Macaca mulatta: one gene and its partner. The protein of the gene in region 2 interacts with the protein of the main gene of each other region in a biochemical or structural test. Links are inferred from orthologs where the notes say so. Each region holds a gene or a part of one and is shown on either strand. Other genes may lie near its edges. The genes, in order: HSF1 and PTGES3.

Evidence for each region.
Region 1: the proteins of PTGES3 (region 2) and HSF1 form a complex in vitro, tested with the Homo sapiens proteins (2 studies listed by BioGRID). The link is inferred for Macaca mulatta from reciprocal best matches to the Homo sapiens genes PTGES3 and HSF1.

Annotation. Positions count from the first base shown.
Region 1 is NC_133413.1:154,683,934-154,688,386, reverse strand, and holds the start of HSF1 (heat shock factor protein 1), read right to left. Parts: upstream 2,840-4,453; 5' UTR 2,825-2,839; coding exon 2,591-2,824; intron 1,493-2,590; exon of another isoform or gene 1-1,492. Other genes in the region: ribosome biogenesis protein BOP1, read left to right, coding at 3,585-3,683. UniProt on the Homo sapiens protein: Functions as a stress-inducible and DNA-binding transcription factor that plays a central role in the transcriptional activation of the heat shock response (HSR), leading to the expression of a large class of molecular chaperones, heat shock proteins (HSPs), that protect cells from cellular insult damage.
Region 2 is NC_133416.1:63,842,646-63,846,450, forward strand, and holds part of PTGES3 (prostaglandin E synthase 3), read right to left. Parts: intron 2,876-3,805; coding exon 2,777-2,875; intron 1,368-2,776; coding exon 1,278-1,367; intron 1-1,277. UniProt on the Homo sapiens protein: Cytosolic prostaglandin synthase that catalyzes the oxidoreduction of prostaglandin endoperoxide H2 (PGH2) to prostaglandin E2 (PGE2).

The DNA of each region.
Region 1 (4,453 bases), on a different chromosome or scaffold from region 2:
CCACGTCCATGCCCATGCTCCTATGTGGATCTCCCGGGATCATAACCTTGTGGCTGACACGTTTCCTCTCCAAGGCAGATGGGGCTGTGCTGTCCTCCACGACTTGCTGGGTCCCCTCAAGGCCTCTGCCTGTGTGGGTGGGGTGCTCATGGGAATGAGGGTCTGGGGGGTGGGAAATCGAACACCACAGGGATGGGGCCATAGTCCCCACCAAATGGGCTCTCCTGGACAGTGACCCGGCATTCTGCCTCCAGTGGCTGCAGTGGGAGTCCCGATCTCAGGCCAGGGAGGGGAAGTGCAATGGTTGTCCAGAGCTGGTCCCATTCCTGGCCAGGCTCAGTAAAGTCACTGGCCAGTTTCTGGGCCTCAGTCTCCCCCAAGTTATTCAGCCTGGAGAATTAGTCACCATGCCTGTGATTCTGCCTCATCTTCTTGTGTCAAACAGGGAGGGTTTTTCTTGGCAGAATGGTGGTAAGACTTTGAGCCAGGAGACTGTCCCAGAGAAGGCAGCAGAGAGCAAGAGCACCAGGGCCTTCTCAAGGCCTCCGAGAGCCAGCTGGGCCTGGGCAGTAGATTTGTGGGAGGGTCCCCTGTTGGGACTCTGCCGACATGGAGTCCTCAGGGCTTGTGTGAGTGCTCTCAAAGCCACAGGATGGGACGATCACCTCCTTTCTCCAGGCCACGCAGCCAGCGCCAGAAAGCTCTGCAGCTCCCTGCACAGTCTGGAGAAGGGCTTCCTTCCAGTTTGAAGTCAGTGTTTCTATCTCATTGCCATGCTCGCCCCCACTGCTACATCCTGCACCAACCATTGCCACTTTATACTGACCAGGTGGAACCAAACACTGACATTCCACACGGCTCCCCATCCCTCCCCAGGGAGAACAGGCCCACAGGTGGTGCACCTGTGAGGAGAGTGGAGGCTGGCCACAGGCCTCATCAAATCTGCCTCCCTTGCTCAAAAGCCCTGCCCAGAACATGCCTCGGTCTCAAAAAAGAGTACACTGGGACCTAACCCACATGCCTCATAATCTTTTAAGCAGAAACAGCAAGCAGATTATGGGACAGGACAGATCATGCTAGTAGGATTAAGCTTAGAATATCCCAGATAATCTCAGATGCCCCTCCCCCAATGGGGCAAGAGAGTACTTCTGAGGGTTAAGGGGAATAAGAAAAAGAAGGAAGGGCTGGGTGCAGTGGCTCACACCTGTAATCCCAGCACTTAGGGAGGCCAAGGCAGGTGGATAACTTGAGGTCAGGAGTTCCAGACCAGGCTGGCTGATGTGGTGAAACCCCGTCTCTACTAAAAATACAACAATCAGCCAGGTGTGGTGGCGTGCATCTGTAGTCCTGGCTACTCGGGAGGCTGAGGCAGGAGAATTGCTTGAACCTGGGAGGTGGAGGTCGTAGTGAGACAAGATCGCACCACTGCACTCCAACCTGGGTGACAGAGCGAGAAGCCGTCTCAAAAAAAAAAAAAAAAAAAAAAAAAGAAAGAAAGAAAACGAAAGACGGATAAAAGAAAACAGAAACATGGGAATACTTCCTCTGCACAAAAATGCCAAGGTCTAGAATGAAGAGATGGTGAAATGAAGTCAGCCTGCAGGAAGGCGCACTGCGCCGTAATGGGACTTGGGGATGGGAAGGCCGACACAGACAGAGGTGTCAGCAGGACAAATACAAAGTGTTTCTGAAAAGAGCAAAGATTTCCAGTCCTCTCTTTATTCCCAAACACTCTGTAGGTAAAGCAGGGCCTCAGTAAACCCGAGAAGCAGAAGGCCTGGCCTCCTGCCTGGAGCAGCTTCAGTTCAGACTTTTCTTCATTCCTAACAGCAGAAAGAGGCTGTGCAAATGGGAGGCCCTCAGCAGAGCCTGAGGAACTCTGGGGTCTTAGCTCCTGGGAGGCCACACATGCTTGGTGGCATCCCGCCTGTCACGGTCCCTCCAAAAGCTCCCAGTGATCAGTGGCCTTTCTTTTTTCTTTTTTTTCTTAAGACAGGGTCTCATTCTTTGCCAGGCTGGAGTGCAGTGGTGGAATCTCGGTTCAGTGCAACCTCTGCCTCCCAGGTTCAGGGGATCCTCCTATCTCAGCCTCCCAAGTAGCTAGGACCACAGGCAAGCACCACCACGCCCGGCTAATTTTTTGTATTTTTAGTAGAGTCGGGGTTTTGCCATATTGTCTTGGCTGGTCTCGAACTCCTGGCCTCAAGTGATCTACCCGCCGCCACCTCCCAAAGTGCTGCTTTCACAGCAAAGAGTCACCCCGCTCGGCCAGTGTGGCCTTTCTTCAGGCCATCACTTGCCAGCCACAGGCTGTGGCTCTGCCCCTCACCGGACACGACGTCACAGCCGGGATGTGAACAGCAGATTTTGATCTCCAACTCCAGACAATCACTGATTTACTTCTGCAAACCGGAGCTGTCCGGTCTTGCAGGGTCGGACCGTGTAAACAAGCCTGCTGCCAGGCAACTGAAGATAAAGACACGAGTAAAGACGCCCCACAAGGAATGAAAAACAAAACTCCTCCTGGGAAACCCAGATTTGGGATTCGGAAACGGGCTTGAGATTAACCTGAAGCTTCATGACGTCTTACTTTCTGTTTCCACTGCCTTTCCTTTTCCACTACAGCGACGCCCTCCGCTTCACGTGCCAAGTCCTGACTTTCTCCGAATAGTTGCCGACCCAGCACCCCGTAGGCCGTCCCCCGGGGACGCCGATGTCCTCTGGAGCACAGCGTCCGCTGGCGAAGCCGGGTGCTTGCCCTAAGCGCGGACACTTCCGCAACCGCCCAACAGTTAGCAGAAGCCCGATGCAAGGGACGCCCCATTCTCCCATCCCAGGGAAACTTCGCTGGGGCAGCGGTTCAATCGGGTGTGGGTCTCGCAGCCGCTTTCCCAACTTAAGGCTCTGCGTTTGGGCAGGCTCGGGACCCGCCGCCCTTCCTGGCGGGGGCAGGGCAGGCTCCCCGCGCGTAAGCCGAGGTGTGGCAGGGCCCCTCCCCGCAGCCCTCCCGCGCCGTCCACCGCGGCCCTGCTCCCTCCCGGTCCCCACGGGCCCCGCGCCCGCGCGCTGCCCTCACCGGGCTCCAGCAGATGAGCGCGTCGGTGTCCGGGTCGCTCACGAGGGTCCACAGCTTGGTCAGGAAGGCCGGGACGTTGCTGGGCCCCGCCGCACCGGGGCCCACGGGCAGATCCATCTCGGGCAAGGCGGGAATAGGCGGAGGGAGCGGCCGCGAAGAGGGGCCGAGGGCCGGGCTAACGCCGTTGCCGCGCCAGCCGTCCGGGCCGAGCCGCCGCCCGCTGCGCACACACAGCCCCAAGGCCCAGCATGGCCGCCGCCATCTTGCAACGGGCGCGCTCCCGCCGCTGCCGCCGCCGCTGCCGCCCTCTCGCGTCCCCCCCCGGCGCGAGCACGCAGGCCCCGACCCCGCCCCGGCCCCCGGCCCCGCCGCGCGCCTGCGCGTGTTGGTCCCGCCCCCCCCCCGCCCGCCAATCGGGGCCGGGCTGGGCGGGGCGCGTCCTCCTGCGCACGCGGCCGTGTCACTGCCGGAAGCGGCTGTTCGGGTCGCGGCCGGCGCGCGGCGGGACATGGCGGGTTCGCGGGGCACGGGGCGCACGGCGGCGCCAAGCGTGCGGCCGGAGAAGCGGCGGTCGGAGCCCGAACTGGAGCCTGAGCCCGAGCCAGAGGTGACTGCGGCAATGCGGGGCGGCGAGGCGCGTCCCTAGAAGGCCCAGCGGGCACGTGGCCGCGCTGGGGCGGGTGGGCCCGGCTGCTGTCACCTGGGCGCCCGTGCCCAGTGAATCGGCCTTGGGCGTGGGCGCAGCTCCTCTATCGGGGGGTCTTAGGCAGAGCAGACTGCAGGGTGAAGGACGGCGTCCGGGAAGCAAAGAAACGGGGGTGCAGGGAGTGGGGATAAGCGCCCCTTGCAGCAGCCTCTCCGGCCGTTCCATTTGTGCGTCCTGCCAGTAAAAGGGCTCGGCTTGCGCCCCCAGTAAATGCTTAACCTACTTATGCGCTAGTTAATCACGTTTTTATGCTCATGGGATAGACGTGAGAATAAGAAAACCTGAATAGAACCCAGAGTCTGCTGCGTTTGTTGTATCAGAACTCACTGTTGCCCTCTGCCAGCTCAGCCCCGTCTTGGTTGTGGGGATCGTCAAATTGGGTGGTGGAGGGAATGGACAGCCAGCCTCTCACAGCCCCCTCGGCCGCGTTGGGTTGTTGAAACTGCCCCATTGCTTTGTGAAGCGAACTCAACTAATCCTGGTTCCCATGGGCTGAACGGCCCGCAGGCCGCTCTAGGCGCCAGGTTCTGCTGCTTGCACCCTTGAGTTAAATGCTCTTCAGGAGCCAGTTGTTTGTGCTCAGGCCATGCATGCCATTTCCACTAGTTATTGTGGTTGTGTAGCTGACTGAGTACCAAGACACATCATGACTGTGTGAGAGAGGCATTGTG
Region 2 (3,805 bases):
CCAACCTTAGGTGATCCGCCTGCCTCACCCTCCCAAAATGCTGGGATTACAGGTGTGAGTCACATGCCCAGCCCTATTTATTTATTTTTTTTGAGATGGAATCTTGCTCTGTCGCCCAGGCTGGAGTGCAGTGGAGCGATCACGGCTTACTGCAACCTCCACCTCCTGGGTTCACACGATTCTCCTGCCTCAGCCTTCTGAGTAGCTGGCATTACAGGCGCACGCCACCACACCCAGCTAATTTTTGTATTTTTAGTAGAGGGGAGGTTTTGCCATGTTGGTCAGGCTGGTCTGGAACTCCTGACCTCGTGATTCGCCCGCCTCAGCTTCCCAAAGTGCTGGGATTACAGGCATAAGCCACCGCACCCAGCCTATGATTCTTGTGTTTAAAAGTTTATAGTCATATTTTTTAGACCAAGTCCCGCTCTTTCGCCAGACTGGAGTCCAGTGGCACGATCTCAGCTCACTGCAACCTCTGCCTCCAGGGTTCAAGCAATTCCCATGCCTCAGCCTCAGGAGTAGGTGGGACCACAGGGACACGCCACCACGCCCAGCTTATTTTTTTTGTATTTTAGTAGAGACGGGGTTTCACCATGTTGGCCAGTATGGTCTGGATCTCCTGACCTCGTGATCCGCCAGCCTTGGCCTCCCAAAGTGCTGGCCTCCTCCCAAAGCGCCTGGTCAAAAGTTTTTTTTTTTTTTTGAGACGGAGTCTCGCTTTGTCGCCCAGGCTGGAGTGCAGTGGTCGGATCTCAGCTCACTGCAAGCTCCGCCTCCCGAGTTTACGCCATTCTCCTGCCTCAGCCTCCAGAGTAGCTGGGACTACAGGCGCCCACCACCTCGCCCAGCTAGTTTTTTGTATTTTTAGTAGAGACGGGGTTTCACCATATTAGCCAGGATGGTCTCGATCTCCTGACCTCGTGATCCGCCCGTCTCGGCCTCCCAAAGTGCTGGGATTACAGGCTTGAGCCACCGCGCCCGGCAAAAGTTTATAGTTTTATTTTATGGCTTCAAAATCCAAGTCAACTACTGCAATCATGCTTTAAAAAAAAAAAAAAAAAAAAAAAAATCCCAATGATGAAATTAGGAAATTAGCAAACTAGCTGTGTTAGTCTTAATACATTAACTTTTGCAGTTAACACTGATTCCTTTTAAAATCATTAAAATGGTCTTAAAAATAACACGCATCATGAATATGTGCCCAAAACCAAATTAAATTGACTACAGACAGGTACTGTGTACTTCGAGTGGGGAGACATCCATTTAATGGAACTTACCTCAGAAAAACGATCAAAATTAGACATGTCTTCATCTGAATCATCTTCCCAGTCTTTCCAATTATTGAAGTCGACACTAAGCCAATTAAGCTATAAATCAATACAAACATCACCCTAAGGTTAGGTTAATTTGCATTTGGCATGAACCTTAAGACTGCATTTTCTTTTCTTCTAAAGAGACCAAGTCTTGCTGTGTTGTCCAGGCTGGAGTGCAGCAAGCATTCACAGGTGCAATCCCATTATTGATCAATGTGAGTTTTGATCAGCTCCATTTCTGATCAAGGGTCTTGTTAACTCTTCAAGCAACCTGGTGGTCCCCGCTTCCTGGGACACCACCATACTGATGTTAACTTAGCATGGTTACCTGACTGACATATGGCATTGCAACCCAGAATTGGGCGCAAGTAATTCTCCCACTTCACCCTCCAGCGTCGCTTTTAACTACAACAGGCACCACATGGCTACTGGTCCCTGGCAAAACAACATTTTTTGAACTGCGACTTTGTATTTTTATGAGGGCATGTAATTAGCACACAAAGAATAGACTAAGCTAAATGGGGTGGCTTACACCTGTAACCCCAACACTTTGGGCGGCCACGGTGGAAAGATTGGTTGTGTAATCCTTCAGGAGTTCGAGACAGCCTGAGCAATAGTGTATCCTGTATCTGGGGAAAAAACAAAAAAACAAAGTTCCTGGGCGTGGTGGCACATTCCTATAATCCTAGCTATTTGGGAAGCTGAGGTGGGTGGGAGGATCGCTTAAGCCCAGGTGGAGGCTGCAGTGAGCCATGTTCACACCACTGCACTCTCGCATGAGTGGCATGAGACTATCTTAAAAAAAAAAAAAAAAAAATTAGGTAAGTGTGGTGGCTCATGCCTATAGTACCAGCACTTTGGGAAGCTGAGGTGGGGAGATTGCTTGAGCCTAGAAGTTCAAGAGCAATCTGAGCAAGATTGTGATACCCCTTCTCTACAAAAAATACAAAAATGAGCCAGGTGTCATGGCATGCCCCTGCAGTCCAAGCTACTTGGGGGACAGAGCGGGGAGGATCACTTGGAGCCTGGGAAGCTGAGGCTGCAGTGAGCCGAGATCGTGTCACTGCACTCCAGCCTGGGTAACAAAGAGAGACCCTGGTTTTGAAAAAAAAAACACTGAAAATTGTTAAACACACCTTTTGAAAACAAATTTACTAGTAAGAACTATTTTCAGTTGATTAATTTACTTTTTCACCAAGCTTTGTCCCCTCCCATTTGATAGCTGAGTAATTTATGCAAAGTCTATCTCTTAAGTGCAAAAGATTCTACACCAGTTAATAACTGATATTCTAATCACACTTCGTATTAAGTTAAAACTGAGTAGACAAAAAACATGAACATGAGGCTTTATACTTAGCTGTGAAACAAAAACACAGCAGTATATTCCTTACATCAAATAAGTGTATCTTTTATTACCTACAATAAAAACATCAAACTTTTCAAAAAAGGAAAACGAAACCTACCTTTGCCCTTTCTTTTGTTAACCTTGGCCATGACTGGCCAGATTCTCCTTTTCGTAAACAGCATAAAATTGATCTGTCCGTTCTTTTATGCTTGGAATCCTAAAAACAAAAGGACCATCATACCATTTATCTTTCCAGTATCGCTACATGACAGAAAGTAGCTTGTCATTTCTCACCTTTTTCATTTCTTTACCTAAATTTTCTCTGGACTCTGAAAGAAACATGCCCTTGACTACTAAAAACTTCAAATTATCCAATTGCCCCAAACCACTATAACTGTCATTTTTTAAAAATTTTATTTTTTCCCTTATATTTCCTACTGAAATAACCTGTACTACAACAAAGTTTCACGTTTAACCTGATACCATTTTTTTCTTTCCTGCACATGGTAAACAGAATAAAACCTTAAAAACTTTAACTAAAAATGATATAGCCACAGAATGGTTTAAATATTCTGTTCTTGGGCCAGCATGGTGGCTCAAGCCTGTAATCCCAGCACTTTGGGAGGCCGAGACGGGCGGATCACGAGGTCAGCAGATCGAGACCATCCTGGCTAACACGGTAAAACCCCGTCTCTACTGAAAAATACAAAAAACTAGCCAGGCAAGGTAGCAGGCGCCTGTAGTCCCAGCTACTTGGGAGGCTGCGGCAGGACAATGGCGTGAACCCGGGAGGCAGAGCTTGCAGTGAGCTGAGATCCGGCCACTGCACTCCAGCCTGGGCGACAGAGCGAGACTCCGTCTCAAAAAAAAAAAAAAAAAAGATTCTATTCTCAGATAAAGGAAGCCTTGGCCACGGGCGGTGGCTCATGCCTGTAATCCTAGCACTTTGGGAGGCCGAGGCAGGCGAACACCTGAGGTCAGGAGTTTGAGACTAGCCTAACCAACATGGTCTTTACTAAAAACACAAAAATTAGCCAGGTGTGGTGGCATGGGCCTGTAATCCCAGCTGCTCCAGAGGCTGAGGCAGGAAAATCCCTTGAACCTAGGAGGCAGAGGTTACAGTGAGCCAGGATTGCACCATTGCACT